Drosophila melanogaster: one gene and its partner. Changing the gene in region 2 together with the main gene of any one other region gives a genetic interaction. Each region holds a gene or a part of one and is shown on either strand. Other genes may lie near its edges.

Region 1 (3,758 bases), on a different chromosome or scaffold from region 2:
GACTACTGGTTCGGGAGCCTCTACAGGCAACGGTTTGGCAGGGGACGCAGCGCGTGGTGGTGAAGGCACAGGTGCATCTTGAGGCTGGTTTTGGTTGAAAACGTTGATGCGCTGGGCAATCGAGTTGCGAGCTGGTTTGGCCGGCGGTTGCGTATTTAGTCTATGAATCAAAAGAGCAGTTTATTTCTGATACAACAAAATAGGAGAGGGGCAAGGACGCACTTAGACTGAAGTTGTCCCTCGCTCGTGTGCTTTGTAAACATGGCCTTGGCAGCACCCACACGAGAGCCAATCAATTCGCGGGCCTCCTGGTTCCTCGCCTGACGCATGCGCTCCGCATCGGTCAGATTGTTGGCAAATCCTGGTGCAGTTTTCTCAGGGCTCAAAGGTTGCGGTGACCTGTTTGATAAAAAAAGAATTTTTACTACCGAGAAGGTCAAATTCCGATGTTTTTGTTTACGTTTTGATGGGTACGTGGGCCGGCTGGAGCTTGGTGGTGCTTATGACCAACTTCTCCCGCTCCTTGTGCTCCTTCTCCTCGCGACTACGTTGCTCCTGCTCCAACTTTTGAAGCTCAAGCCGCTTGGATTCCTTCTCTGCCTCCTGTCGCAATTTCTCCTCGGCCTCCTCCTTTTTCCAGAAGTCCTGCATAACGCTGGCGTTTAACTCCTTGGTGGGAATGACCCGAGTATAGTTGGTTCCCACCGGCGCCTTCTGCTCCTCCATGGCGCCTCGAGGTTCCTTAAAGCTGTAGGCTGAGCTCACGGTGCTCAGCTTCTTGAGAAGCCGATCCAAGTCAATATCGTCCTCGTTCCGGGCATTGATGGTAAGGTGAGCGCCGGACAGCAAATTACTCACATCACGTATGTGGTTGGCGCAGGTACCCTTGCGTAGAACAGGTGCGCCCTCGCCCTGAATGGGAGCACAGTCAGATTATGCGTAGCTCGATTAGATAAGGGCGCCGTCGGACTCACCTGCCAGTTGATGAGCAAGTACTTGTTGAGGCCCGTTTTGGGGTCTTCGATTCGGACGAAGGCGTACATAATCTTGCCGCTATTTAGGTCTTCGTTTAGCTCATCCACGCCGCCATCGCCGGTGGCCACCACCTTCAGCTCGTTGGTCTGACCCTCGTAGCCAAAGAGGGACCAGTTCGTGTCGCTCTTATCGTCCAGCACATCCTTCCAGGCGGCCACTATTTGCGCCCGATTCTTCTCGAAGCTGACGGCCATAATTCCAGACTGACAACGACCTTGAGCAGCGAGATCTTGGCCAGCTTTCACTGGGTCGCCTTATCGGGGTGCCCTCTTCGTCAAGTGAAAGCCAACGCCTCGCGAAGACTCCAAATTTGCTTGGGTTGTCTTGTCTTAAATTTTAATTAAGTGCAGCCGCCTCACAAAGGCACACAGACGTACACAAACACAAGCAGAACAATGGGATAGTGGGTGATTGATTTTCCAGTATGTGCGAATTTCCAGCGGCTTTCCAAATTCCACTTTTCCACCTTAATCCTTCGAGTTATGCGTGCAGAAATAGGTTTAACTTAACGCTCAAGCAATTGCAACTCCCCAATTAACCAATTTGATTGGAATTTTAAAATATTCGATCGCTGGCGGCGACCCACACACTTTTTTTGCAACAACAAACTAGAGCTGGGACAACAGGCGATGTCTAATCGATACTTTCAATGTTGCCACTGTGCCGCTATCGATGGTTTTTACTTGTAAAATTGAAATTAAATAACAGAGGTTTTAGAACGTATCTAGTAACGTGTACCTCGTCTAATAGGCTTTGATTTACTTTATCGTTTTTCTTATAGGTGTTAGTCGTAAAGTTTCAACTATATATATAAGCATTATCTTCTTTTTTAATAATCACACATACGAACATTTTTCGTTTTTATATTTTATTCAACTTTTTTGTATCTCTATCCAATGGAAAAAACTGGTATATGGTGTTTATTCATATCATAACCTTTATATTTGCTTATAATATACTTTGCAAATACTATTGACAAATAATATGTTTTAGGTTGTTAGGTATGTTTACATTGTTTGTACATTAAGTTTTCTAAAAATGGTTCGAGTCAACGCTAATGTTATATGTGGGCTTAAGTCACCGCTGAACAATATTAGTGTTGGTAAGGCTGAGCAAATATCGATGTGAATACAGACTGATGACTTTGGCCATCGATGTTACATCGACGTATCTTCCAGCTCTAACGCGAACTGAACTATTATTGCAATTATACCAAAAATCATCGAACCCCCGCTTTTCCCAGCGCAAATCGTGAAAAGTCGGTGAAAATTAGCGAGGATAAATCGCCGTACAGCTGAGGAGCAGGATTCCAGCGAGGATTTGAAGGCGCACACCTGGCGAAAGGTAAAGTGGCTCCACTGTTGTGGCCTGATATTTACGTATATTAATGTGGAAACTAGACGTCGGATGCTGGCTGGCTGTATGGTTGGCTGACTGGCTAGCAACAATATGGCTCTGGCTGCTGTACTTTGGTCATTGCCGAAATATTCAACGGAGCAGCCCCCGAACTCTTGGTCTTGGGGCCTCCGAAAAAAACCAGTCCCAAGTGCATCGTGGCCCCTCACCGCCCCGCCACCGTGCATGTCCCCTCATCAGCATCCACTTCCACAGCTTTCCGATCAGATGGCAACTGTTTGGCAGCAGGATTTCGCCTTCGTCTTACTTGTTTCAAGTCAGCCAGTCAGGCAGTCAGTCTTTGTTCGCTTTGGTTTGGTTTTGGCTTTGGTTTTGGTTTTGTTCCATTTACATATATGCCAATGCCAGGCTCGGGCGATATATCCAGTTTTTCACTTGGATATCTCGGTGTATATATTGTAAGGCACACATACGAGAGAGATGTGTGTGCGGCTTAAGTGTGTGTGGTGCGGCTGTTCATGGTCAATTTCTTTGCATTTTCAGTGTGAAACTCATGCGGTGCAGATCGAGTCGGTGCAGGAGCAGCGAAACCAAGTCCAAGTCCAACTCCAAATCCACGTCCAATCCCACGTAGAAGCGTTGAGATCATCATGGAAACGGCGCTGGATGTACTCTCTAGAGCGGCGACCATGGTGCAAAACAATCCCAGCGGTAAGTGAACAAACCGATCCGACCCAGACTTACAGACCAACAAAAAAACACCAACTGGAGCCATTAACCAATTCCGTTTAAAAAGAGTCGACAATTTTTATGATTTCAACTTGGCCAACAACATGCCCTGATGTACTCAACCCAAACGGGGCAGTGGGGGTGGGGGTTATACACAGCTCTTTTATGGCTTTCACCTTTGAGCCAAGAAGACTCGGAAAGTATTTCAACAATGTGTCAGACACAGAAAGAAATGCCCAGTAATATGAACATCTTGCGTCTAAAACATTCATGGGAATGTAAAGCAGTGATTCAAATTAGTAGTAGCTCTTTACAAATTTAAAATAATTTCTGAATGGATTTAATGTGAATGAACTTGGAAAACTCTACAAGTCTGCTAAACTGATAAGTCTTAATAGATGTCAAGATTTTTGCTTACATAAAAACATCATTATATTCTAGACTATCAAAGTCACATTATATAAAGAAACAAAATGTAACAAAACGTTTTGCAAACGATTTCATGCCTAGTTAATGAATTCCCAAATGTAATCTGATTATTATTCACATACTTCGTATGCTACCAATCAGAGGTGCTGTTTGTTATCACATTTTGCCATATTACATTTAATCTTTGAATTCAGATTTGCTATTGGGCT
Region 2 (3,758 bases):
GCAATATTGGGATAAGTGACCCCCAGAAGTGATGAAATCAAGATGGTAAATGAAACGATATGCGAATGGGGTAGATCGAAAACAAATTATATAGAAGTAAGTAGATATGCGACACTAATAGACAGAATAGAAAATAGAGCAATTCCACTCCAAAATCAGATGGGTTAGGGGTGAAAAAATATGGTGGGTAATTTGGTGGATAGTGAACTTCTATGCGCTAAATGTATTTCTTGCCGTTTAACTAGTCATGGAGTAGTTACATCGAAAAAAAAAATGATATAATATATGGATATTCGTGTATTTGATGGCCTGTGCACAATTGAATTTGTGTAGTGTATATGGTTGTACTATCTCATCATATTGTTAATTAATTTTAGATACTTTAATTGGTAAGTACGATGGATCATACCTTGACTTCGATATCGCCGATTTTGTTGACCGCCCGAATCATGGGTCGTCCCACCATCGAGGGAAAAATGTGGGTGGGGAAATTGCTGCCGGCATATCCGCACTTAACGAACTGAAAAATAAATGGAGATGTCATAAATACATATATTTATATTATGGTGTATGTGGAAACACATTAAAATAATATGACAGCCGACATATGTACATATATTATTATTTGAGTTAAGCCCTAACACGTAATATGATAATTTAAAATGCTTTTGTATCAACAGGTACTTAAAAATTGCACATAATAATAATAAATAATTATTTTTAATCATTTTGTTTAAGACCAGCTATATCATTTTTCCCGGTGCAGCATTTCCTTGCGTTTTTACTGCTGTGACTTATCGAATTCGGACCGTTATCACAAAACAAAAATTTTTGAATTAGTTTTGATTATTTGGTTTAGGACCAGCTAAATCATTTTTCTCGGTGCAGCATTTGCTTGCGCTTTTACTGTTGTGGTTTATCGGACGCTTATCGAAATCGGACCGTTATCACAATACAAAAATTCTGGGCCTGCGATAAGAACTGATTGTCGGAAATTTTATGGAAGTGTTGGTGTGTGCCAGTGTCGCTCTTTCGACAAATATGTAGGTGTGGGAGATACTGAGTAACGCTGGAATCGTGAGTAATCCACTGATTAGTCAAGCGGAGAGCAAGAAGAAGAGTGGGGAAGCGGAATATAAAGGAGAGGAAGAGGCAATCGCGTAATTGCAACTGCTGCAACTGCTTGACTAACCGCGACGTCAACGCCCGCTGGCCAGCAAGCAGTGAAATAAGCAGCAGCAGCAGAAGCGCTGCTTAGTCCACAAGAAGAAGAAAACGAAAGAAGCGCAGCCAACAACACTCGAAATGTGTGTCACACACCAGTCGTTGGTGATGGTGTGGGTGTGTGCGCTCTGTTTTCACCGCTTGTGGGTGATGTGGGCGGTGCGGGTGGTGACTTTCCCGTTATCTTACCCCAGTGCCGTTATCACAGACGATAACATTTCGACCCTTGCTGTCCATGCTTGAAGGACTCAAAACCGGATCTCTGGAAAACCACTGCTTCTGCTACTCCCGTTGCTTCTGCCTCTGCTGTGGCAACTGCCTTTCCACTTCCACTGATGACGCGACCAGGTTGCCTTTTTGGGTGTTGGTTGTGATTCGGTTTGAAATCACAGCTCGCAGCGCCTCTGCTCGATAAAACCAAACAAAATATTGCACATCAATCGCCTTTCCTGTTGACTTCCTGGGCCGTTTGTTGAGCACTACTGTTAATTGATTCCTTTTCGGCTTTTTTTGTATTTGGACCGCCGGAGAGCGATTGTACTTAATCATACACTTTCCTCTTCCACTCGCACACTCTCACAACACGCGGGCGGGAACCTTGCTCTCTTCGCCACTCTATCGCTTACGTTTATCGCCGCTTCGTTTGGCGGTTATTGGGAATTGAACTCTTAATTTAGACTCGCAATTAAATTTAGGCCGAAACAGTTTGCCGCTATCGACTATTTATACTTATAATTTAGTTATACTGCTGTACAAAAACTCCCTCGTTACTCCCCAGAGTTGAATAAAAATAGATGCATATTCGATACTATCGGCGTTGGACTGAAGCGTACAAAACACCGAAAATAAATACCAGAACCGTTTAGATACTAGATCCAATTATATTTTTTTATTATTTTACAAATTTGTTAATTAAGTTTACTAGTCTGTGTGCCACTTTTAACAATTTAAAAAAGATTAAAAAATACAAGTTTATTAGTAATATATGTTACTTGCACAGGATTTACACAAAACAATTTCAATTCAATTAAGACTTTATTAATTAAATTATTGGATTAAAGATTTGGCAATTTAACAACTAATCACATCTATTTGAAAAACCAATTCGGCAATTGCTGAAATTTCAAAATACTCACATTGATTTCTGGTATTTTTCGTTTGCGCTCTTGCCTCTCGTTCACTCTCATACTTGGAAAAATATTCTTGAATTAAGACTTAAAACAGGTTCAAAATTTGGCGCCATCATTGAATACATGCATGTATTTAAAGAATTGTAATTTAAGCAATTAAGAAGAAAAATGATAACTTGACAATACTGCTCCCAAGGATAAAAAGTTAAGTGATCGAACGCCATAAAATGGAAAGTTTGTTGCTGATTTATTTTATTCCGTTTATATAGTATGTATATGTATGTATAATTTAATAATATAATAAACGTTACTCATTTGTTATCTTTATAATTGCTTTAAGAGGCGAAATGTCTTATATATGTATGTATATACCATGCAGCCGTCTCGTTCCCGCATTTTTTGATTCTGCTTTTGTCTGGGTATTATGTGTTATATTGAACGTTTTAATGCTTTTTAAATAGTTCCCATAAGTATGTTGGCATGGTCTTGACGTACATATTATCAAAATCTACTCATCTCCTCCTCAGCCGTTCTATTCAATTATTTACTTTTACTATGTGCCAGGAAGTTTTGCCTATGCCTCATGCAATAGTTATGTACTTTCTTTATCGAGGGAACTAAGCAAATGTATTGTTAGTCATACATAGTGTAGAATTATTAATACTTCTTAGCTTTATTATTTACCATGGCTCTTGATACACTCGGAATGCAAATCGCCCTAAGAGAATCCAAAATTTACAATTAATTTATTTCAGAAAATTATCTGAATATTGCCTACGTTTAATGGCTTAAAATGTATAGTTCTTTGATAATTAAACTATATTAAAAAAAAAAAATTAAAACTTAATTGTTGACCTATGCGTATTTTGGTATTAACAATTGAAATAAATATTTGTTGTTTTTCAAAAATTATACCTGAAATGTTGTCCATCAATAGAAACATTTGTTTATAGCCTAACAATATGGAATTTAGTTTTCAATTTCATTATTTTAAATCCGTAAAAACCCATACTTGTTGAAAATATTTGCGGCGATTTTCGAACATAAATGCCGATTGATTTTCTGAGTGTATACAATCATTCTATGGAATTGGTGTTCTTGGCGTTCAATACTCGAGACTATTGCAATTAAATGTGATTTGGGGGAACTCCCATTTCACTCGACTAACTAACTAAGTATGCATTTGCGGTGTAACAACATTAACAATTTTAACCACATATAGAACAGAAACTCTGAAACTTAAACGGCCCAACAGCTTTCATCAACTTTCAATAATTATATAGTTGTGGTGGAGGATTAACAAAAAAAAAAAACGCTATATATATATCTATATAAATATGGTGTATCTCTCAATTAGTTGAGTAAGTTGTTTCCATTTCTCCATCTTTTTTTTTTTTATAAAAG

The links. A genetic interaction does not mean that the proteins touch.
Region 1: of Arp2 (region 2) and Abp1, changing one suppresses a phenotype caused by changing the other (phenotypic suppression), as found in Drosophila melanogaster (one study listed by BioGRID).

Annotation. Positions count from the first base shown.
Region 1 is NT_037436.4:13,484,629-13,488,386, forward strand, and holds the start of Abp1 (actin binding protein 1), read right to left. Parts: upstream 1,653-3,758; 5' UTR 1,230-1,652; coding exon 975-1,229; intron 913-974; coding exon 461-912; intron 400-460; coding exon 223-399; intron 161-222; coding exon 1-160.
Region 2 is NC_004354.4:16,551,931-16,555,688, forward strand, and holds the start of Arp2 (Actin-related protein 2), read right to left. Parts: upstream 2,022-3,758; 5' UTR 1,462-2,021; coding exon 1,414-1,461; intron 521-1,413; coding exon 410-520; intron 1-409. UniProt on the Drosophila melanogaster protein: Functions as ATP-binding component of the Arp2/3 complex which is involved in regulation of actin polymerization and together with an activating nucleation-promoting factor (NPF) mediates the formation of branched actin networks.